Linked DNA regions of Struthio camelus. The protein of the gene in region 2 interacts with the protein of the main gene of each other region in a biochemical or structural test. Links are inferred from orthologs where the notes say so. Each region holds a gene or a part of one and is shown on either strand. Other genes may lie near its edges.

The links.
Region 1: the proteins of MAP2K7 (region 2) and GADD45B form a complex in vitro, tested with the Homo sapiens proteins (2 studies listed by BioGRID and IntAct). The link is inferred for Struthio camelus from reciprocal best matches to the Homo sapiens genes MAP2K7 and GADD45B.
Region 3: the proteins of MAP2K7 (region 2) and MAPK8IP2 form a complex in vitro, tested with the Homo sapiens proteins (2 studies listed by BioGRID). The link is inferred for Struthio camelus from reciprocal best matches to the Homo sapiens genes MAP2K7 and MAPK8IP2.

Annotation. Positions count from the first base shown.
Region 1 is NC_090967.1:6,695,186-6,702,858, reverse strand, and holds GADD45B (growth arrest and DNA damage-inducible protein GADD45 beta), read right to left. Parts: upstream 2,892-7,673; 5' UTR 2,716-2,891; coding exon 2,678-2,715; intron 2,586-2,677; coding exon 2,484-2,585; intron 2,117-2,483; coding exon 1,903-2,116; intron 1,817-1,902; coding exon 1,703-1,816; 3' UTR 1,065-1,702; downstream 1-1,064. Other genes in the region: survival motor neuron protein 1-like, read left to right, coding at 5,293-5,319, 5,746-5,838, 5,985-6,179, 6,269-6,394, 6,829-6,951, 7,038-7,121.
Region 2 is NC_090972.1:4,043,121-4,050,569, forward strand, and holds the start of MAP2K7 (dual specificity mitogen-activated protein kinase kinase 7), read right to left. Parts: upstream 3,520-7,449; 5' UTR 3,472-3,519; coding exon 3,348-3,471; intron 1,045-3,347; coding exon of another isoform or gene 997-1,044; intron 1-996. Other genes in the region: sterile alpha motif domain-containing protein 1-like, read right to left, coding at 4,474-4,635, 6,905-7,016, 7,408-7,449. UniProt on the Homo sapiens protein: Dual specificity protein kinase which acts as an essential component of the MAP kinase signal transduction pathway. Essential component of the stress-activated protein kinase/c-Jun N-terminal kinase (SAP/JNK) signaling pathway.
Region 3 is NC_090942.1:659,357-667,928, forward strand, and holds the start of MAPK8IP2 (C-Jun-amino-terminal kinase-interacting protein 2), read right to left. Parts: upstream 3,268-8,572; 5' UTR 3,195-3,267; coding exon 3,130-3,194; intron 1-3,129. UniProt on the Homo sapiens protein: The JNK-interacting protein (JIP) group of scaffold proteins selectively mediates JNK signaling by aggregating specific components of the MAPK cascade to form a functional JNK signaling module.

The DNA.
Region 1 (7,673 bases), on a different chromosome or scaffold from region 2:
GACTGGGGACGGTGCTGGAAGGCAGCAGCAGCTGATCTTCAACCTGCCGTTGGAAAAGCTGCTGCATTTCCCTTCTGAAAAGTGCTCCCTGAGCCCCAGCGGGAGCTGGTAGAGTCGGGGCTGAGCCCCTGCAACAGTGCAGCACCGGATGCAGCCCAGGGCTGGCCGGTGGGGGCCATGCAAGCTGGATGGGGCTCTGGCTCCAGCCCTCCTGGCAGTGCCAGCTCAGGGACAGTCCCTTGGCAGCTGGCAGGGAGGCAGGAGGGGCGAGCTGGGGGTGCTGCTGGGGTGTCAGGGCTCAGCGGGTGCCGGCAGCGCTGCCTCCCTGGGCCCCCAGAGCCTGCAGAGCCGCGGGGCTGGGAGCCCCCAGGCAGATGGGGTGCCTGCGGCTCTGCGGGCTGCAGCCTGTGCCTCGATTTCCCTTGCTGCCAGGGACCCTTGCACCAAAGAGGTGTTTGTGCTATTGCTGTAGTGTGAGGGTACAGCCAGGGAGTGATTTGGGGGGGAAAAAAACCCTCCTGTTCAAGGAGGGGGGTTGTTGCATGCAGGGCTGGGGGGCTGTGCCTGGCCCTTGGGGTTGCAGATGTTTTGGGGTCTGGGGAGCCCCGGCTCTGCCCATCTTCCCGTGCGGTGCTGAGGCAGGGCTGTGCCAGCAGGCACGGGGATGTGCTGTGCAACCCCAAGCGCCTGCCTACGACACGCTGCGTTTCTGGCTGCAAATCCCGCTGCAGAGCCCAAGGGACAGCTGCTGCCAGGGCCTTTGCAGGAGGCAGCGGGGCCAGGCCAGATGCCTGCGCCAAGGCTGGTTTGGCACTGCCAGGGGGTCCCGGAGCTGCCTGGCACCCGGCCTCTTCCTCCCCACAACCAGCCCCGAGGGCTGCATGCGGGGAGCAGCCGGCCATGCTCCTGCAGTGCAGGGCTGCCCGAGGCCTGGCCCAGTACCCCCTGAGAAATGGCCACCGGGGTGCAGGACCGGCCACAAGAACTGGCACAAAACCTGTTCCTGCTCCCAGGCGTGGGGTGCCCCAGGTGCAGGGAAGGCAGAAGATGAATGCAGGCACTGCTGAGTTTAGAAATTTTATTGCAAATGTTTTTTTTTTCAAATCAGTACAAGAATAGACTCTATAATAGATTTAGATCAGGGTCTCCAACGGGCTTGAGTGCACAGAATGAATCTGTTGTTGCAAGTCTATGAATATATAAGATTTATTTATCCCTTAGAAAATAAGTTCATTTGCAAATCTGTCCCTTTGCAGTCCACGCTTCCATTGAGTCCCAGATGCCAAAAAGAAAACAAAACCATCTCCATCTGTCCTCCCCGCGCTCTGCCGCGCCAGTCCCGGGCTCCTCCGCGCCGCGGCCGGCAGCGGCGCGCAGCAGGGCCCATCCTCCGTGGGGGGAAGCGCGTGCTGGCACGCAGCATGACTCCTCAGCACATCGCGTCTCCTGCCCAGCCTCGTCCTGCCGGGCTCCCAGCCACCGGCCCCGTCTCCGGAGGGCTCTGCCGGTGCGTCCTCGGCTCACCTCCTTCCTGTGCCCATCGGCTGGGCTGCTCCCTCCTCCTCTCCAGTTAAAAAGAAAAATAAAATCGGTGGGTGGTGGTTGTTTTTTTTAATCTGGTTGCTTCTCCTTCCCTCTTCTGTGGTTTATTTTTAATTTTTTTGTTTTCTCCAGGTTAAAAAGCTGGCAGTTGCCGCAGGGCTCAGCGCTCCTGCAGGGCCACATAGGGCACCCACTGGTTCCTGTCCCGGCTCTCGGCGCAGTAGCTGGCCACCTCGGCCAGCCCCTGGCTCTTCCAGGCGTCCGTGTGCGGGTTCTGGGGAGGCAAAGCGCAAGGTCAGTCCCCACCTGCAGCGCGGGACCGCGGCGCGTGGCTGCGCTGTGCATCACAGTCCCACTCACCGTGACTAAGAGGCAGTGCAGGTCGCGGGGCTCAGTGCCGGGCTCGGGCTCGCCCAGGATGGCGGCCAGGCGCTGCATGCCGGAGACGCGCAGGATGTGGATGTCGTTGTCGCAGCAGAAAGCCTGGATGAGGGTGAAGTGGATCTGCAAGGCGATGTCGCCTTCGTCCTCCTCATCGGTGGCCAGCAAGCACAGCACCACACTGTCGGGGTCCCTGCAGATGGCCGTAGTGTTAGGGGGGCCGGGACAGCACAGATGCAGGTACTGTGCATGTCCCATGACACGGTGGGGGGTGTGATGTCACCCCATGTCACCCGGGCTACTGACCCCAGCCCATGGGCAAGAGGCTTCAGAGTGACTCTTGCATGGTCTTTGGGTTTGGGCAGACTCCCCCCCTGCCCCCCAAGACAGACCCCCAACACTGGGGCTGCCCCCATGCAGCCTCCCTGCTCCAGACCCCCTGCACTAGCCCTGCTCTTAGATAGCCACCCCCCCCCGGGACAGACCCCGCTGCACCCCCTGCACTGATCTGCCGTGCACCCGCTCCGGCAGCCCCCGTGCATTCCCCCCCGGACACTCACACGTTCATGAGCTTGGCAGACTCGTAGACGCCCACGGTGAGTCGGTCCTGCCGCTGCGCCGCCACCAACACCCGCTCCACCGCCTCGCTCACCGCCTGCATCCTGCGGGGACAAGAGAGGCCAGTGAGCGGCAGCAGCGCCGGGCCGGTTCCCCCCCACCCCCCAAAAACGGTGCCCCCGGGCCTGGCACTTACTTGCTGCTGTCGCAGGGCACCAGCTCCTCCAGGGTCATGGTGCAATTGTAATCCACAGGGCGGGCGCCCAGAAGCCGAGCCCGGAGAAGGATCCGCGGCAAAGGAAATAGGTATTCAAAAATAAAAATGAAGCCCAAGTGCAATAATCCAGTAGCGCGGTGGGGGTCCCGCTGCAGCCCGCTCCGCTCCGCCCTGCTCGCCGCTGTACGCTTTTCTGAGCGCCGCTCCGGCCGGCGCCGCCTTTTATAGCCTCCCGCCGCTGGGCGGGGCCACGCGCGGCGCCCCCTCCTTGCCCATTGGCTGGCCCGCCACAAAGGAAAGAGCGGCCGGCGCGCGGATTGGCTGCCGCCTTCGGGCCCCACGTGGGGAGGGGTGCTCCGGGGCGGGGGGGTTTCACGGCGCGGGGGGAGCGGAGCGGGGCCGGGCCGACGCCAGAGCCCGGGAGCGACTATTTTTGGAGCGCCCCGAGCTGGGTGCACGCGGAAACCCCCGCCCAGAAACTGTCCTCCCCCCCCCCCCCCCGGGGCTGCGCAGGGACCGAAACAACGGGGAGGGGGGGTCGGTCCGCGCATTGGGGGTTGCAGTTGGGGGACGGGGGGGGGTCGTTCTGCGCAGTGGGGGAACGGTCCGTGCATTGGGGTTTGCAGCGGGGCGTGGGGGGGCCACGCATTGGCATCTTCGTGGGAGGTGTCGGTCCCTGCACCGGGGTCTGCAACGGGGGGTCGGTCAGTGCATTGGGGTTTGCAACGGGGGGGGGGGGGGAGGTGTTGGTCCACGGCACGGGGAATCAGTCGGTGCATTGGGGTTTGCAATGGGGGCCGGGGGGGTTGTTCTTGCGCTGGGATCTGCCGTGCAGGAGCAATCCCTGCCTTGGGGTTTGCGGGGGGGGGGGGGGGCTGGTCCGTGTATTGAGATTGCAAGGGGCCGGGGGGGGGGGTAATGTGTGTCAGACCGTGCATTCGCGTCGTCGTGGGAGGCATCGGTCCGGGCACCGGGGCCTGCAGCAGGGGTCGGTCCGTGCACTGGGGTGCCCCCGGGGGGGGGGGGGGGGGGGGGCCGCTCCATGCACCGGCGCCGCGACCGGCGGTGGCTGGCGGCTGCCACCTGCCGGGGACGCGCGGCCGCCGCAGGCCCCGTTCCTGCCCCGGCGGCGCCGCCCCCGTGCACGCGTGGGCCTCGCACCCACGAGCCCCTGCACGCTCCCGTCCCCTCGCACACGCGGCCTGTGCACGCCCCCGGTTTTGCACGCCCGGTTTTGCCCGCCAGCCCTTCCCCTCCGCTGCATGCCGGCTTGCACCCCCGCGCCGCCCACCCCTGCCGGTGTCACGTCCCTTCCGCGAGTGCACGCGTGTTGGCGCCTGTGCCAGCTCGCTGGGGACCGCCTTGTGCACGCGTGCCGCCTCGCGGGCCCGTGCTGCTCCCGAGCCTCCTTGCACGCTCGCTCGCACGTCGGGCTCCGCTCCCGTGGGCAGGAGCTCGGGCACGCTCCCGGGGCGCTCCGGTTTCGCCCTCCGGGTTCTTTCCCTGCTTGGGGTCCCTGATCTCGTTCCCCGCGGCCGGGCTGGCTCCGATGGCCACCTGAAGGACAGGCGAGCGGCGGGCTGTGCCAGGCCCTGCTCCCCGTGCAGGTCCCCAAGCACCACGGCTGCCGCTTGCTGGGGCCCCCTGTGCCCCCAGAATTGTCACCCGTGGCCCCGAGGGAAGCCGGTGATGGAGTCCCCTCTTGGCATGGGTGCTGGGGTGCCAGCAGCTGGGCTGCGGGCCGGGGTCGAGTCCTGGGCTTGGCGTCGCTCGGTCCCTCCAGCCAGCCCTGAGCCTGCGTGCCCCGTCCCTGCAGGGACCTGCCGTGGGGTCCCTGTCCCCGGTCCCTGTCCCAGTCCCTGCAGGGTCCTGCCACCCGCATCTCCCTGTTAGGGGTGTTAGGGGTTTCCAGCTGCAGCTGCGCGAAGGCGCCCTCAGATCGGGGATTTCGGGGCCCCGTTCCTCACGCAGTGTTGGTGGCTGGGCCTGGATTGCCCCGTGAGGGTGGCTGCGGGCAGCCTCGGGTCGGGCTCCATCCAGCCGTGCACCCTGGCCGGGTCCCTGCCGCCCGCTCCGGAGCAGGTATTCTGCGGGGGGCTGCCTCTCCCCAGAGTCCCGGGCTCATGTACAGGCAGGTCATGTTCCCCCCCGGTTCCCTAGTGGATGCACAAAGTTGCCACGATATTTTGTAGCTCCATGTGCGCGGCCGTTGCGGTGGCAGCTCGGCACCGGCTGCGGCTGAGAGAGCAGGGCCGGGGCTCGCCGCCGCTGAGCACCGACACAGCTCGGTACACCGATGGCTGCGGCCCGCCGCGCTCCTCCCGGGGCGTAGCGCACCGCCTCCCACCGGAGGGCGCGGCGGGGGGAGGAAAGCCTCAGCGACGCTCTGCCCGCCTGCCCGACTCGCTGGTAGCGCGGGCGTTGCCTTCTGGGAAGTGTAGTCGTGGGGTGCCCCGCCCCCGCGTGCGCCGCCGGGGCGGAGACTGCATTACCCAGGGGGCGCCGCGCGGTGCGGCGCGGGGGGCGTGGCGTGGCGCTGCGGGGCGGGGCGGGCCCACGTGCGGCCGCGGGTTCGGTGCCGCCCGCGCCGGGCCATGGCCGAGAGCGCCCCGGGGTCGCGGGTGGGCGGCTGCGTGGCGGGGCCGGAGGGAGCCGGGCCGAGGCTGGGCGGACCCGGACCGGGCCGGGGCGGGAGGGTCCGGACTAGCTGGGACCGGGGGTACTGGGGCTGGGCGAACCGGAACCGGGACCGGACTGGGTGTGACCGGGGGTACCGGGACTGGGCGGACCGGGCCGGGGCAGGAGGGTCCGGACTAGGTGTGACCGGGGGTACCGGGGCTGGGTGAACTGGAACCGGGACCGGGCTGGGGCTGGAGGGTCTGGACTAGCCGGGACTGGGGGTGCTGGGCCTGGGTGAACTGGAACCGGGACCGGGCCGGGGCAGGAGAGTCCGGACTCGTTGGGGCTAGTTGAACCGGGACAGGACCAGGGCCCTGCTCTGCCCCCCCGCCCCAGCCCCATCTCAGCCCGGCACCTTCCTCCCCCAGGATGCTCCGGATGAAGAGTCGGACCAGGTCCCTGAGTCCCCACCGTTGAGCGTGCCCCCCAGCGAGGAGGAGGAGGATGAGGAAGGCTCCCAGGTGAGCGGGCGAGGTGACAGCCCGTCCCCACTGCTGGCTCAGGGAGAGGCTGCCTCGCACCTCGCGATCTGCCGGAGGGGGGAGTGTCACGCTGGGGACCCCTCTCCCTGGGGCCGGCGTGACCCCCCCCCCACCTCTCCCCGCAGTGGGTGGTGGGAGCCGCCTGCTGCACCATCTGGTCGGGCGACGGGCTGCTGTACCCCGCCACGGTGCGGGCGCTGGACACCGCCGCTGGCACCTGCCTGGTGGAGTTTGTTGGCTACGGGAACAAGGAGGAGGTGGCGCTGGCAGATCTCCTGCCCCCCTGCATCCCCGTGGCGGGCCACCTGGGGGCCCAGTGGGTGAGTGATGCCGCGGGGCGCTGCGGCACCTTTGGGGTGGGCAGGGGGTCTGTGGGGGGGCTGCTCTGATGCTCGTGTGTCCCCGCAAGGCGGAGGAGGGTCCCTACGGGGAGTCCCGGAGGCCAAGACCCCCCCCGTCATGGGAGCTGCCCCCGGGCAGGAGGAGGAAGAGCAGCAAGGGCAAGCAGGCGCCCTGCTCCCCCTGGCCCCCCGAGGTGAGTGTCTGGTGTCGCACCGGGCTCGGGCCCTCTGCACCCCCCGCCCCTGGCTTGCCACGGGGCTGGGAGCTGCCTTGCGCCGTGGGGGGGCACCCAGGGCTGCGGGTGCCTCCTCTGGAGCGGCGCCGGTGGCCCAGGCTCTCCCTGCCCTGCCAGCCTGCGGCCAGAGAGCGCAGCGGCAACCAGGGGTCCTGCCCGTCCGTGGGGATGGGGACCAGTGAGCCCGGGATCACCCTGTCATGCAGCTCCAGCTGTGGATTTGGGGAGGGAGGGATAGACGGGTGCCAGCAACGCTGGCAGCTGGCTCTGGAAACTCCTTATTTCCCTGCCTGGGGTCCCCGTCTCCTGCTGGGCATAGTGCGGGCGAGCTGGCACCCTACGGCAGGGTCCTTCGGGGTGGGACTGTCCCTAACGGAGGCTGTTGGTTGTAGCTGGTGCCTCCGCCGTGGCCCCCAGCCCCACTGTGCACGTACCAGGAGGAGGAGGAGGAGGAAGCCTTGGCTGCGATGCTGATGTCCTGGTACATGAGCGGGTACCACACCGGCTTCTACATGGTATGGCAGGGCCGGGGGGCAGATGGGACAGCCGGGGTGAAGGTGTGATCCTCCCCCGTGACCCCCGCCCTGCTCTGCGCCCCCAGGGTCTCCGCGAGGGCCGGGCAGAGGCGGCCGCGCTCCTGCCGAGACGAGGGTGCAGGCAGAAGAAATCGTCGCTGCACAGCTAGGAGGGCAGGTGGGCGCGTGGGGACGCGCCGGGGCTGGGAGTCCCCGTCCCTGCGCCAGCCACTCTCGCAGCGCGTCCCGCTGCTGGGCTGGGGCTGCTGGCATGGGGGAAGCGGGTGCTCGGGATGCCCCAGCTCCCCTTTTCTGCTGCTCACCCCTGTCCGTTCCCCCTTTTCCAGCTGGATCTGTCTCCCTGCGCCCCGCTGGAGGGGCAGGTTTTGGGCAGAGAGCAGTCCTGGTCTCGTCTTGCGGTCAGAGCGCCCAGCAGCGGGTCTCCGGGAGAAAAGGGAGCCGCTGTCCCCCTGCCACGGGCTCACTGTGCATCGGTGCCGGAGGTGCCGCGGCCCCGTGGGCTACCCCAGCTGCGCTCCCCTTGCACGGGGATTTTGGAATAAAGCTGGTTTGTGGGATGCTGCGTGCTGGAGCTGTCTGCATCCCTGGGGAAGGGGTATGGCCCCACGCAGGGGCCAGGCGCTCTCTCTTGTCCCGGGCCCAAACAGGGCTCGGTGTCCAGGTTGGCCTTGCTGGGGCTGCGTTTGCTCAGAGAAGTCGCA
Region 2 (7,449 bases):
GCCGGAGCGCTCGCCAGCTGCTCCTGCGCCAAGTCACGCCACCACCGCGCCGAATCGCCCCGCGCCGGCCGGAGCGCTCGCCAGCTGCTCCCGCGCCAAGTCACGCCACCGCTGTGCCGAATCACCCTGCTCCCGCGCCGAATCGCCCCGCACCGGCCGGAGCGCTCGCCAGCTGCTCCTGCGCCAAGTCACGCCACCACCGCGCCGAATCGCCCCGCGCCGGCCGGAGCGCTCGCCAGCTGCTCCCGCGCCAAGTCACGCCACCGCTGTGCCGAATCACCCTGCTCCCGCGCCGAATCGCCCCGCACCGGCCGGAGCGCTCGCCAGCTGCTCCTGCGCCAAGTCACGCCACCGCCGCGCCGAATCGCCCCGCGCCGGCCGGAGCGCTCGCCAGCTGCTCCCGCGCCAAGTCACGCCACCGCTGTGCCGAATCGCCCTGCTCCCGTGCCGATTTGCCCCGTGCAGGTGCCGAGTTGCCCCGCTCCCGCGCCGAGTCGCCCCACACTGGTCAGAGCGCTTGCCAGCTTCTCCTGTGCCAAGTTGCCCCAACCAGGCACCAAGTCGCCCCGCTCCCACGCCGAGTCGCCTCGTGCCGGCTGGAGCGGTCACCAGCCGCTCCCGCGCCAACTCAGGCCGCTGCCGCGCCAAGTCGCCCTGTGACGGCCGGAGCGCTCGCCGGCCGCCCCGCACCGACCGCCCCCCCGCCCCATGCACCCCGCGGCGCCGCAACCATGCGACAGGCAGGGGACGAGCAGAGGGAAGGGGAAAAACCGGGAGCAGGAGGAACAAGGTAAAGCGGCGCCCTCCGAAACGAGGCACCCGCGAAGGGAAAAGCACCGTGCGGCCCGGCCGCCGCACGCTCGCTCCCCTGTCCCCAGCCCAGGAGCAGCCGCGTCTCGGAGGTGTCGCAGGGAAAGGGGGAAGGGGGGGGACAAGCGTTAAAAGTGAGATGATGCGGGATCAATCCAAGCGGCGCGGAGGAAAAAGTCGTGGTACCTGCTCGTTGGGATGGAGCGGGAGCAGGGCTTAGAGTGATCACAATAACTGGAGGAGGAGAAGGAAGAAACGGGACAAAACAACAACAACAAAAAAAAAAAAGGAGAAAAACACACCATAAATCACAACAGAAATGAACCAAGGCAGCAACAGAAAATTAAAATGAGAAACAAAAAAAAGAAAAGAAAAGGAAAAAGGAGCAAAATAAGAAGAATGGCAAAAAGGAAAAACTAAAGGAAAACTCAAATCGCGTCACGGGAGGGGAGAGGAGCAAATGGGGCAGGGGGAGTATGGCGAGGGGGAGGCAGAGGAGCTGCCGCCGGCAGGCTAAAACTAGCAATTCCAGGCCCGAAAACGCAACGCTCCCTAAACCTATGAAAAAGCAACTTTTTCCAAACCTAGAAAAAGTGACAGCCCCAAGGTTGCAAAAAAACGACGTTTCCCAAACCTAGAAAAAGTGACCTTCCCCAACCCTCCAAAAACAGACGGTCCCCAGGCCCTGAAAAATCGACATTCCCCAAACCTACAAAAAGCAACAGTCCCCAAACCTAGAAAAACAGCACTTCCCAAACCTACAAAAAGTGACGTTCTGCCGGCCCCCAAAAAACAAGGGTTCCCAAACCTAGAAAACTGACATTTCCAAAAGCAGGAAAAACCGACGTTGCCCAGGACACCTTCCCGCGCGCTCTCGGCCGAACAGCCACCGGCCAGGGTGACGCTTCGCCGGTCATGCACCAACCCCACGTGCCCGTGGGGCCCAGGAGCCCGGGGGTCGCCTCGCCACAACCCCAAACTGCTGCTCGGCCACGACCCGTGCGGGGAGACACTGCCACTGCCATGGGGCGCTCGGTCCCAGCTCCGCCGCGTCCCGCGCGGGGAGACGCCACCGCGGCCGCGGGGGGCTCGGTCCCGGCTCCGCCGTGTCCCGCACGGGGAGACGCCACCGCTGCCCTCCTCGTCGTCCCGCGGCGCGCCTGGCCCCCGCGGTGCCCGCCCCCGTCAAGGTCACCCCGGCTGCCCCGGGGCTGGCGCCGCCCCGGCGAGGCCGCGGCCGCCCCCCACCGTTCTCAGGGCTTCGTCCTCCCCAAGCCTCCGAGTCCCCAGCGTTCACCCCAAAACTCCCCTCAGTGCCTCCGTACAGCCCCGACGGCCCCCGTTTGCCCAATGCCCCTCTGTTTGCTCCAACACTGCCTCAACTGCCCCCAAAACCGCCCCGACTGCCTCCCGTTTGCTCCAATACAGCTCAACTGTACCCAAACTGCCCCAACTACACCCAAAACTGTTGACTGCCTCCCCTTTTGCTCCAATACTGCCTCAACCGCCCCCTAAAATCCCTGTTAGAGCCTCAACTACCCCCATTTCACCAACTCAAACCGCAACTGCCCCTGAAGCCTCCGAAACAGCCTCAGTTCCCCCCCCATAGCCCCAAATGCACTCCCAACTACCCCCAATGCACCAAATACAGTCTCAATTGCCCCCAATGTCCCTAAATATAGTCTAAGCTGCTCTCAATATCCCTAAAGAATGCCCCAACTGCCCCCAACCTCTCAACACAGCCCCAGCTGCCCCCCATTTCCCCCAGACATGGCCCAGCTGCCCCCCGGCCTCTCAGTACTGCCCCAACTGCCTTCAGCGTCCTCAAAAAAGCCCCATCAACTCCCACTTCCCCCAATACAACCCTAACTCCCCCCATGCCCTGCAAAATTGCCCCAAATGCCCCCCCACCTCCCCCAGAGCTGCCCCAATTGCCCCACAATAACCCCAACACTGCCCCAACTACCACCCATTTCCCCCAGTAGAACCCTGTTTACCTCCATACCCCGAAAAACTGCCTCAAATACCCCTCATTTCCCGCAACATAGCCCCAACTGCTCTCAGAGTTTTCACTACTGCCCGACTTGCCCCCATATCCCACAAAACTGCCCCAAATATCTCCAATATAGCCCCAATTACTCTCAGAGCTTCCAATACTGCCCCAAATACCCTCCATTTCCCTCAATACAGCCCCGGCTGCCCTCAGATCTTTCAGAACAACTCCAACTGCCCCCATATCCCACAAAACTGTCCTAAATACCCCCATTTCCCCCAATACAACCCTACTTGTCCCCCAAATAAGGCCCAACTGTCCTCAGATCCCTCAAAACTGCCCCAAACACCCCCTATATCCCGAATACGGCCCCAAACACCCCCTATTTCCCCCGGTACTGCCACAACTGCCCCCGACCCCCTCATGATTGCCCCAAATACCCCCACAGCCCTCAGCATTGCCCCAACTGTCCCCACCCCCAGTTGCCCCCCCCTCCGGCCTCCCTTCCCCCTCGGGTCTCCCCTCCCCCCCAGCCCCTCCTTACTAGGCCGGGCCCGAGCCGGGCTGATCTCGAGGTTGAGGTCGATCCTGCGGCGGGCCTCGCGGTTCTCCTGCTTGAGCTTGGCCTCCAGGCGGGAGAGTTTCTGCTCCAGCGAGGACGCCGCCATCTTCGACCGGAGCCAGCGCCGCCGCGCAGCCAGAATACACAAACAGCGCAGTGCGCAGGCGCCGACTGGCCCCGCCGGGCCACCGTCCGCCACACGCGCGCGCACACTCACGCTCCGCTGTCGCCGCTTTTAGGGCTGCCGCCGGCCACCGTCCGCCACGCCACGCCTCCTTTCGGAGACTTCGCGGACGCGCATGCGCGCGTCTCGCAGCCTTCCTGCTCCGCCTTACCCACGGCAAGGCCAGTGGGCGGCAGCGCGCATGCGCAGTCGTTCCTTCCCTCGCTGCGTGCTGGCGCCCCCGTGCGTGACGGCGGCGCAACCCCAGGCGGCTCCGCGCATGCGCACACAGCTGAGACCCCCCCCAAAAGTGCGGACCCCCCCCCTTAGGACCCCTCCCAAATGCTGATCTCCCCCCCCAAGCACCTCCTGCAGGGGGTCAGCAAGAGGCCTGGACCCCCCCCCCTCCTTGGTTGTGGGGGGAAAGGCCAGAAGGGATGCAGGTTTCCAGGCTACGCCCCCCCCCAACAAAGAAAATACCCCAAATATCCCCCCCGACCCACACGGGGGCTGTTCCTTCACTTTTTTCCTTTTTTTATTTAAAAAACCCCAAAACAAGCCAGGCCCAGAGGAGATTTGGGGGGGGGGGGAGAGAGGGAGAGCAGACCCCAGTAAGGGGGGGGGGGGAACAGCAGGGGCGGTGTGGGGGGGGGCACAGGCTGGGGTAGGTTAAAACACAACTCTCCGGACAGCGACCCCCCAAAACCGTCCCGTTGGCCCCCCCCACCCCCACCCCCAAAAAAAAAGAATAAAAACCCCCCTCGCCCCCCTCCCTGTGCTGCAGAAGAGGGTGGGGGAGGCCCAGCCCGGGAGGGGGAAGAAGGCAGGGAGGCGAAGAGGAGGAGGTGGAGGAAGGGGCTAGGTGCCCCCCCCCACCACCACCACCAAAGCCCAAACCGTCCCCCCCCCCCAACCCCCGAGAGTCCGTGGGGCGCGCGGGGGCGCTCAGCCGAGGAAGGCCTCGGGGCCCTCGTCCTCCTCGAAGTGGCTGCGCTGCAGCAGCTTCACGTGGTACTCGTAGATCTTGAGCGCGGGGCCCAGGCGGATGGAGAGCCCCGTCAGCACGTCCGCCCGCTGCATCAGCAGCAGCGACTTCCCGTCGATCTCCTGCGGGGTGGGGGGCACCCGGCCCGCGTCACAGATTTCCCCCCCCCCCCAAAACACCCCCAGGCTGTGGCTGCTGCCCGGCCCTGGGGTGGGGTAGGGGGTGTGCAGTGGGATGGGGTGGGGGAGTGGGTATCTGCTGGGGGATGGGGATGCTCTAGGTGATGCTCTCTGGAAGAGGGGCACCTGGCAGGGTGGGGGGGGGCACCCCCAGGGGACACTGCGTGGGGACAAGGGGCACCCGGTGGGATGGGGGGGGACACTGGGGGATGCTTTGGGGGGGGGGGGCACCCCCAGGGGACATTGCGTGGGGACAGGGGGCACCCGGTGGGATGGGGGGGGGACACTGAGGGATGCTCTCTGGGAGGGGGGCAGCTGCTGGGGGATGCTGCGTGGGGAGGGGGCACCCAGGGGGTGGGGGGGACACTCTGGGGGATGCTTTGGGGGGGGGCACCCCCAGGGGACACTGCGTGGGGACAGGGGGCACCCGGTGGGATGGGGGGGGACACTGAGGGATGCTCTCTGGGAGGGGGGCAGCTGCTGGGGGATGCTGCGTGGGGAGGGGGCACCCAGGGAGTGGGGGGGACACTCTGGGGGATGCTTTGTGGGGGGGGGCACCCCCAGGGGACACTGCGTGGGGACAGGGGGCACCCGGTGGGATGGGGGAGGACACTGAGGGATGCTCTCTGGGAGGGGGGCAGCTGCCGGGGGATGCTGCATGGGGAGGGGGCACCCAGGGGGTGGGGGGGACACTCTGGGGGATGCTTTGGGGGGGGGCACCCCCAGGGGACATTGCGTGGGGACAGGGGGCACCCGGTGGGATGGGGGGGGACACTGAGGGATGCTCTCTGGGAGGGGGGCAGCTGCTGGGGGATGCTGCGTGGGGAGGGGGCACCCAGGGAGTGGGGGGGACACTCAGGGGGATGCTTTGGGGGGGGGCACCCCCAGGGGACATTGCGTGGGGACAGGGGGCACCCGGTGGGATGGGGGGGGACACTGAGGGATGCTCTCTGGGAGGGGGGCAGCTGCTGGGGGATGCTGCGTGGGGAGGGGGCACCCAGGGGGTGGGGGGGACACTCTGGGGGATGCTTTGTGGGGGGGGGGCACCCCCAGGGGACACTGCGTGGGGACAGGGGGCACCCGGTGGGATGGGGGAGGACATTGAGGGATGCTCTCTGGGAGGGGGGCAGCTGCTGGGGGATGCTGCGTGGGGAGGGGGCACCCAGGGGGTGGGGGGGACACTCGGGGGATGCTTTGTGGGAGGGGGGCACCCCCAGGGGACACTGCGTGGGGACAGGGGGCACCCGGTGGGATGGGGGGTGACACTGGGGGACGCTCTCTGGGAAGGGGACACTGCATGGGGAGCAGGGGGCACAGGGCGGGGTGGGGGGATGCTCTGAGGGGGCTCTTTGGGAGGGGGGCACCCCCGGGGGACACTGTGGGGGGACAGGGGGCACCCAGTGGGATGGGGGGGGGGGTGACACTTTGGGGGATGCTTTCTGGGAGCGGGGAACTCCCAGAGGACACTGCGTGGGGACAGGGGGCACCCAGAGGGATTGGGGACACCCCAAGGGGGACACTGTAAAGGGACAGGGGGCATTGCACAGGGATGGGGGGAGGCACGTGCCAGGATGAAGGACACCGCACGGGGACAGTCGCCGGGATGGGGGACACCTGCCAGGGTGGGATAGGAGGGAGACACTGCCTGGGGACAGGGGGGACACCTGTGAGTATAGGACTGCCTGCCAGGAGGGGACACTGCCCGGAAACAGGGGAAGGGGACATTCACAGGGACAGGGAAAGGGAACATTGCCTAGGGACAGCCATTAGGGAGCACCTGGGGACAAGGAGCTGGCCCAGGACCAGTTGGGGACAGGGAGGGGGACAGCTAGGGAGTGGCAGGGGAAAGCCATCAGGGAAGGGGAACAGATGGGGACAGTCAGGGGACAGCCATAATCACAAATGAGTAACAGGGACAGGAACCTGGCCCGGGTTGGGGACATCCTTCAAGGAATGGGGGACACCCAAGGACCTGCTGGGGACAGCTAGGGATGGAGGGGACCTAGCTGGGGACGGGGACAAGCCATTGGGGACAGGGGGTGGAGGGGACCCAGGTGGGGCTGGCGGCCACATGGGGAGGGGGCTCAGCCCTCCTCCAAGGGAGGGGAACCGGGGGGAGCTGGGGGGTGTAGGGTCCCCAGTGTCCAATCAGGGGGACAGGCGGGGACAGAGAGGGATGGAGGGGACGGAGAGGGGACAGGAGGGGACCCACCTGCTCCTGGAAGGCCGTCGCCTGCTCGGGAAAGCCGGCTTCCGTGAAGTAGTCGACCACGTCCCGAACCGTCCACTCCACGGGGTCGGCCGCCTTCTCCTTCTTGGTGGCCCTGGGGACATCGGTCACACCGGGGGGACATCGGTCACACCGGGGGGACACCGAGGACATGGGGGAACACGGCCTCAGCCTCGGGACACGGGGCTGCAGCACCCAAGGGGACACAGTACTCCGAGGACACCTGAGGGTTGCACCCTGGGGACAAGAGGCCACCGCGGCATCGGGGACAGAGCCACCGCGCCATTGGGGACGGAGTCACCACGCAGAGGTCGCACATAGGGACGTGCAGTGGCCACCAAACTGGATGGGGAGGGGCAACGGTCACATGAAGGCGGGGAGGGGACCACGGAAGACATCACGGCCTGGCTGATAAAGGACTGGGGACATGGGGGGACATGGGTGGGGACACAGGGGACACACGGGGACCTGGCCCCCCCACTCACGTGCAGCTGAAGGGGGCCCCGTCGGCAGCCTGGACCCCCGGC
Region 3 (8,572 bases), on a different chromosome or scaffold from region 2:
CCCCAGGAAGCCCCAGGCTGGGAACGACCTTCCCCAGGGCCTGGCTGGGAAGAGGCACAGTTTGGATTCAGGCCTTGCAAGGCCTGGCTGAAGCAGGAATTATCGACCTCTCTCTGTTAAGACATCACAAACGCTGGCTGCTCCCCTTGTGGCGGCAACATCCCTGTGGGCTTTATCCTTCCACCGACTGAGGTTCCTCCAGGCAATGGGGGGGACTTGTGCACTTCTGGGGAGGGGGGGGGTCTCTCTGGCGAGCGAGGAGACCCCAAGCAGTGTGCAGGGGGTGCAGTTTGGCCTGCCGCAGCCCGGCTGAATGCAGCGGTGCGCGCTGCACCTTGCAGGCAGCACGGCAAGGCGCTGGGCGCACGGGGCCTTCCTGTGCCCTGGCTGTGTCTTGGGGGCCAGCACCAACTCAGGCCCATTCCTGCAGACGGGCATGAACGGTCCAGCAAAGACGCAGCGCGCACAGCACCGTGCTGCTGCCACGCGGGGCTCCAGGCCCCTTCTGCTGGCAGGAGCAGGGGGCACCCCCCGCAGCGCTGCTCGCCGGAGAGGAGCCTGCAGACCCCCTGCTCCGTGCAGACCTGCAGCCTTTGGTGCAAGCTCCCTGGGCACATGAGGAGCAGAGACCACTGGCAGCCAGGGAGTCCCCAGGGATTTGACCCAGTTTTCCTGGCACAGGGGTGCAGCTCCTGCACCCCGCGCCCTCCTCCTGGCTAGGAGCAGAGCGGGTCCAGTAGCCAACGCAAAACGGTCACTGCTCCTTTGCCCTCTGCCCTGCCACCAGGCTCCTCCACTGCCCCTCGGCTCTGCTCAAAGCCGGTGTCAGGGGCCTTAAACGCCAAACGCTCCTGCACGAGCCAGAGGGAAGATCGATCGTCTGTGGCTAGGAGAATAACAGATGTGACTAGAACAGGAGCCAGGCTGCTGCTGTTTGTCCCTCGCAGAGCACAAGGACAGAAGGAGACGTGGAAAAGCAGCGTATCACTACGGGACAGGAGGAGAGGATTTCCCTGCCGGGGGGTCTCCAGCCAGTGGAACTCACTGCCACAGGAGCAGAAGCGTTTGCAGAAGGAGATGCATGAGATGTGGCTATGGCCAAGAGCACGGTCGCGGGTTGCAATGCCCTCCATGGGCTTGAACTCCCCAGGGGGCAGGAGCCAGCCCCCTCCTCGACCCAGAGCTCCCCCACGCCCCCGAGGGCTCCAGCCCCGCTGCCTCGTACGGCCCAGCTTGGGAGTGTGCAGGGATGCATCCCCGGGCCAGACCTGACACCGCAACCTCAGTGGTAACCTGCTACGGGCCAGCTCTGATCCCCCTCGTGCCACACAGCAGGGCAGGGCCTCCAGGGGGATGAAGGGGGAGAGTTGTGCAGGGGATCCCTGCGAGGAGGATGCGACCACCCGGAAAACGCAGCCCCTGGGGAATTGCTCTGGGCCCAGATGCCAAGCGGGAGGCAGGAAGGAGCAGAACAGCCATGGCAAAGGCAGAGGCTGTGTCCTCCCCACCGCGCTCCCCATGACACCAGCGCAAGGTCCCACCACGACCCAGGGACAGGGATGACCTGGGAAGCAGCCACGAGACCTGCTCAATGTGGGTCAGAGCCAGCCAACGAAGATGTCCAGCATCCCAACTAAACCTCAGCTCCTCTGGTCCTCAGGGCCTCCCTAGGTACCCACCACCACCACCATCACCTCCCACCCTCCATCCAGCTGCCGAGACCCCGCTGCCCCATGCTGGGCCAGCCTGGCTTGGCCACCGCCCGGCCTCCCCACCCTGCTGGCACGGCTCCCATCCAGCCCCACACACCCCATGGCCCCCAGCCTGGGCTGCACCCCAGCCCTGCCAAGCCCACCAGCAGGGCTAGGGGGTGAGAGCCTTGCCGCGTCCACCCTCCCCGCTCTGTGCCAGTCCGGCTGGCAGCTTGGCCCTGCCGCCTCCAGCTCCTGCAGGACCTGCTGGAAAGGTGACCTGCGTCAGGCTGCACCCGGGCCCGGGCACTCCTCCCGCGGCGGAGAGGGGCCTGGGAGCCACTGCTTTTAGCAAGCACCATGTTTCCCCACGTTAGACCTCGGAAGCGCCGAGCCTGCTCGGACGGAGCAGCTCGGGCAGGTCTCTGGGGCGTCTGCCGAGAGCGAACCAAGCCAAAGCTCCTTCCCCACGCGCCAACAACAGGGCTTCCCATCGCAGGCCAAACCTGGCTGGCAACCCCTTCCCTCGCGCCAGCGCGCGCTGAACCGCCAGGCCCCCCCGAGAGCACAGAGCCGCCGGGCCCGGGAGGGCCTGGTTTGCGGCGTGAACAACAGGCAGAGCCCCCAGGAGCGTTGCGGGAGGGACGGAGGCGCAGCGCGTGTCAGGAGAGACAAAGAGACGCCAGCCGGTGCCGCTTCCCCGCAGCCCCCGGGGACGCGGCGGGGCAGGGGTCGGACCCCGGGCGGCTCTGCCCTCCGCGGCGCGGGGCTCCCGGCGGACGGGGAGCGGCTCGGCCCGGTTCGGCCCGGCCCGGGCGATGCGGCGGAGGCTGCTGCAGCGCTAATCGCCGCCACGGGAGCTGCGCCCGCGCGGGGGAAGGGCCGCTCGGCGCGCACGGCCCGGACGGGGCCCCCGCGCCCCCGATGGACCGGCCCGGCCCGGCCCGGCCCGCGGCAGCAGCATCGCTGGGCCGGAGCGGAGCGGGGCGGCGGCGGCGGCTCCGCGGCCCCAAGGTGAACGGGGAGACGGAGAGCGGCAGCCAAACTTCCCGCAGGACGCGGGGCCCCGCTGCGGGACGGCGGCGCCGGGCGGCCCCGCTGCGGCCCCCCCGGCCCGGCCGCGCGGCCCCGGTCCCGGTCCCGGTCCGGTCCCGGCCCGCAGCCAGCGCCAAGGGCGGCGCGTCGGGCCGAGCCGAGCCGGGCCGGGCCGGGCAGAGCCCGCAGCGCAGCGCCGCGCCCGCAGCGCGGCCCCAGCGCCCCGGGCGGCACCGCACCGCACCGCACCGCACCGGGCCGAGCCGAGCCGCACCGGGCCGAGCCGGGCCGGGCCGGGCCCCGGGCCGCCCCGCCCCAGCCCCGCCGCCCCACGCACGCACGGCCGCGGCGCGGGGCCGGACCGGGCCGGGCCGAACCGAACCGAAGCGGGCCCGGGGCTCACCTGCAGCCCGGCGGGGAGAGCGAGTGGAAGGTGGAGAGCGAGAACATCTCGGCGCGATCCGCCATCTTCTCCCGGCCGGGGCTGCGCCGGACTGCGGAGCTGCGCGGGGCTGCGCGGGGCCGCGCTGCGGGCGGGGCCGCGCGGGCACCGGGGCGGCGGCGGCGGCGGGAGCGGCGGGGGCGGCGGCGCGGAGCGGAGCGGGGTGCGCGGGGGGCCGGGGCCGGGGCGGGCGGCGCGCTGGGAGCCTTATAGCGAGGGAGGAGCTGGGGCGGTGCGGGAGGGGCGGGGGCCGCCTCGGGGGGAGAGGGGGCTGCGGGGGGAGGGCGGCTGTGGGGCGGGGGGGTGGGGATAGGGGGCTGTATGGGGAGGGGAGGGGGGACGTACGGGGAAGGGGAGAGGGGGGATGGAGGGGGAGGATGTGTGGAGAGGGGAGGGGGGATGTATGGGGAGGATGTATGAGGAGAGGAGGGGGGATATATGGGGAGGGGAGAGGGGGATGTATGGGGAGGGAACGGGGGGGTTGTATAGGGAGGGAACAGGGGGTGTATGGGAAGGATGTATGGGGAGGGGAGGGGGATGTATGGGGAGGGAACGGGGGGATGTATGGGAAGGATGTATGGGGGAGGGGGATGTATGGGGAAGGGGAGAGGGGGGATGTATGGGGAGGATGTGTGGAGAGGGGAGGGGGGATGTATGGGGAGGGAACAGGGGATGTATGGGGAGGATGTATGAGGAGAGGAGGGGGGATGTATGGGGAGGGAACGGGGGATGTATAGGGAGGGAACGGGATGTATGGGAAGGATGTATGGGGAGGGGAGGGGGATGTATGGGGAGGGGAAGGAGGATGTAGGGGGAGGGGAGAGGGGGATGTATGGAGAGGGGAGAAGGGGCTGTATGGGGAGGGGAGAGGGGCTGTCTATGGAGGGGGGCTATATAGGGAAGGAAGAGGGGGATGTATAGGGAGGAGAACAGGCAGAAGTGTATAGGGAGGGAAGTGGGGGATGTATAGGGAAAAGAGGGGTTGTAAAGGGAGGAAGAGCAGGGAGGACTGGGAGGCTGTCTATGGAGGGGGGGACTGTATAGGGTGGGGAGAAAGGTAAGTATAAGGAGGGGAGAGCGAGTGGTATAGGGAAAGGAGAGGGGGCTGTCTATGGAGAGAAGGGGGGATGTATAGGGAGGGGAAAGAGGGCTGTATAGGGAAGGGAGAGAGCCATATAGGGAGGAGAGCAGGGAGGAACGGAGGGCTGTCTATGGAGGGGAGAGGGGGTTGTATAGGGAGAGGGACAGGGAGGAGTGGGGGGATGTAGAGGGAGAGGGGAGGGGGCTGTATAGGGAGGAGAGCAGGAGGCAGTATGGAGAGCAGGGGTGTGTTCAGGGCCACAGGGGCTGTATAAGGAGGGACAGGAGGCTGCACAGGGCTGCTCTGCGGGGAAATGCAGAGGGCTGTGCAGGGGCTGCGTAGGGGGGGCACAGGGCTACGTAGGGGCCTGCACAGGGGAGGTGCAGAGATGTATAGTGAGGTGCAGGATTGTGCAGGACTGTGTAAGTAGGTGAAGGGTTGTATAGGGCAGTGTAAGGCTGTGTAGGGACCATGCCAGGAGGGCTATATAGGGCGGTGCAAAGCTGTACAGGACTGTGCAGGGCTGCATGGAGCTGTGCAGGGGGCTGTACAGGGAGGTGCAGGGTCATATAGGGAGGTGCAGGGCACCACAGGGCCATGCAGGGGGCTACATAGGGCTGTATAGCAAAGTGCAGTGCTGCATAGGGAGGCACAGTGCTGCATATGGAGGTGTAGGGCCGTATAGGGAGGCGCAGGACTGCATAGGGAGATGCAGGGCTGCACAGGACCATGCAGGAGGCTATATAAAGCCATGCAGGGCTGATTAGGACCATACAGGCTGTATGGGACCATGCAGGACTGTATGGGGCCATGTAGGCTGTATAGGACCATGCAGTCTGTATGGGGCCATGCAGAACTGTATAGAGCCATGCAGGCTGTATAGGACCATACAGGTCTGTATGGGGCCATGCAGGCTGTATAGGACCATGCAGGACTGTATGGGGCCATGCAGGACTATATAGGGCCATGCAGGCTGTATAGGACCATACAGGACTGTACAGGACCATGCAGGCTGTATAGGACCATGCAGGACTGTACAGGACCATGCAGGCCGTATGGGGCCATGCAGGACTGTATAGGGCCATGCAGGACTGTACAGGGCCATGCAGGCTGTATAGGGCCATGCAGGTTGTACAGGGCCATGCAGGCTGTATAGGGCCATGCAGGCTGTGCAGGGAGGCGCCGCGCTGCGCAGCCCCGGGCCGGGCCGGGCCGGGGCGGGAGGCGGCCGAGGGCCCCGCGCGGAGCTGTCCCCGCCCCGGTGCTGAAGCCCGGAGCTGTCCCGGCGCCGCCGCTGCCGGCCCGGCCCGGGGCTGCTCCCGGGGGCTGGTGCTCCGGGCCGCTCTCGGGGGCTGCTCCCGGGGGCTGATGCAGGGCTGATCCCAGGGGCTGGTACCGGGCTGATCCCGGGGGCTGGTACCGGGCTGTTCTCGGGGGCTGCTGTCAGGGGCTAATGCAGGGCTGTTCTCAGGGGCTGCTCTCGGGGGCTGCTGCCGGGGGCTAATCCTGGGGCTGATCTCGGGGCTGACGTCAGGGGCTAATGTCGGGGGCTGATCACAGGCTAATCTCGGGGGCTGATTGCGGGCTGGTGCCAGGGGCTGATGCCAGACTGATGTCAGGGCTGATGTTGGGGACTGCTGTCGGGGGCTGATGCTGGGGCTGACGCCAGGGCCTGATGCCGGACTGATGTCAGGGCTGATGTCGGGGGCTGATGCCGGACTGATGTCAAGGCTGATGTTGGGGGCTGATGTCGGGGGCTGATGCCGGGGCTGATGCCGGACTGATGTCAGGGCTGATGCTGGGGGCTGATGCCCAAGGCTGATGCTGGGGTTGATGCTGGGACCTGCCCAAGGCTGTAGACCCACTACAAGGCAGGGGCATCTGGGCCAGCTGGGCCCGGGGGTCAGTTTGCCTTGCAGGGATCAAGACAGGTGGGGGAGTCTGGGGATGTGGAGGAGCCATATGGGGCCCTGCAGGACCCCGAGGCATTGGGGGGGGGTGTCTGTGCAGTGGGGGCAGGGTATAGTGGGGGTCAGAAAGTGGAGGGTGTCTGGCGCACTGTGGGTGCAGGGTGCAGTGAGAGGGGCCAGGAGGCAGTGGGAGTCCAGGAGGCAGTGGGGGAGGCCAAATGCAGTGGGGGCTGGAAAACAGTGGGGACACAGAGGCACAGGGGGTCTGTGCATTGGGGAGACCCAAAGGTGGTGGGCCCAGTGGCAGTGGGGGGGGTCCTATATAGTATGGGGCACAGAAGGCAGTAGGGGGATCTGGGGAACAGCAGGTCCCCAGAGTCAGTGTGTGTGGGGTGTGGGGGGGTCCGTGCATGGGGGAACAGGATGCAATGGGAGGCCCAGTAAGCGGTGGGGGCACCAGAGGCAGTGGGTGTCAAGGGGGCTGTAAGAAGACATACAGGAACTGGAGGCAGTGGGTGAGCAGGATACAGCAGGGGGGATCTGAAGGCAGAAGGGATTCAGGATGCAGCACGGGAGTCTGCGCGCTGGCGGGCAGGTGGCACTGGGGGTCCACAGGCAGTGGGGCCCAGGGGTGGTGGGCCTGGGTGCACCCGCCCCTCTCTGCAGCTGCCCGGCCCGTGCTTGGGAACTGGCTCACAGCAGGATTGCTGCAGCTGCTCCCGTGGGACCGCCGGGCCAGCCTGGCCAGGGCACTGTGCTGGGCCCCAGGGACCTGTTGTGCGGATCCCCCTCTCCGACTGCTTGCCGCAGGCCCTGGCAGCTCCAGGGCAGAGGGCTTGGACCGGCGGGGCCCCGCTCGGTCCGCTGCCCTTGGGCCTGACCGGAGGCTGCAATGCCGCCCCGTTGTGCACACCGTATCCTGCAGAGAGGCTGCACTGCAGGGCCTGAGCCACCATGTGGGGGGGGGGGGGGTGCTGAGCCAGCAGGGGTCCTGAGGCTCCTCCCGTCCCTCTCCGTCCCGGTCATGCACATCCCAGCCACCTTTCCTGCCAGAGGGACGGAAGAGCCCCGAGCGGGAAGGCCAAGGCAAGTTTTGTGCCGCCACGGAGGCAACACACGGGCAACAGCTAGCCGGCTCTCCAGCCAACCCCTCCGACCCCAGCCCAGATGGGAGCACCATGCAGTGCAGGGGGCCCTGCCCTCCCCGCTCGGCCGAGCGGTCCCCGTCCCACGCAGGGGCCTGCAACGGCTTCCCCGGGAAGCAGCGAAAACCTCACCGGCTCCCCGGCAGAGCAGGTCCATCAGGAGCCGCCTGCTACCGGGGGAGCGGTAGCCGGGATGTCCTTCCTGATCCGCTGCTAGACGCAGCCGACAGCGGCGCGAAGGGCCCTGCGCTTCCCGCGGGACGCAGCCGGGGCGCCGGCGGCTGGCTGGCGCTCAGCACCACCCTCCCAGCACCAGCAGGCCAAACCCGCGCAGACGCCCGCGCACCGGCCTCCCGCAGGGCAGCAGCGCTAGCCGGGCAGGCGAGCATCCCTGCCCCTTGGGCCGGGGGCTGGCTCTGCTTCCTGCTTCTGGGAAACGGGTTGTTATAGGAGACCGCCCTCCCCCCGGAAGGTCTCACGCACCCTTGGGAAACGCGGCGGCAAACGCTCCGGGCGCCGCGCGTGCAGCAGCGCCCCGCTAGCAACGCGCGGGAGCGCAGCCCAGCTCGGCAGGGGCCGGCCGGGCGGCTGGGCTGCCGCTCGCCAGCTCCCCACGAGCTGTTTCCTCTCCCGGCACCCTTCGCACGGGGCTCGGGGCCGCGAGGAAGCGCCGGCCGCGGTTTGGCAGGCGCCGCGCGGAGCAGCGGCTGCCGTTTCGGCAGGGCCCCTCTCCGCCGGGCGCCCCGGGGATCGCAGCCCGGCTCCGCTTCCGGGCGCTGGGAGCCGGCAGGGAACGGGGAGCACCGCGGCCTGCCGCAGCCCCCGACCCGGCCCCCCGGCCCCAGACCCGCATCCTGCCGCCGCTGCACGCGTTATCCACGGCCCCGGCGCGCGCCCCGGGCCGGAGCACGTCCCGGCAGCTCCGGCTCTGCCGCAGGGAAGGGGCCTCTCCAGGGACACCGCCTGTCCGTCCTGCGGCCCAGCCCTGCCTCTCCCCGAGGGGGGAACAAGCAGCGGCGGCGGCAGCGGCTTACGGCATCTCCCTGCCGATCCGCGGCGGGGGAAACAGATGGCCGGGCAGCACAGCTGCCTCCGGCATCGCCCCCGCCCCGCATCCCGGCCGGCCCATCTGCTCCGGCACCGGCCCGGAGCCTCCCCCCGGCTGCACCAGCGGCTCTGCCCCCAGCGCGGCTGCGCCCCGGCGACGCTGGCGCCGGCTAAGCGGGGCCGAGGAGGTAATCTCCGGCTTAGGGGAGGCTCAGCCCCGC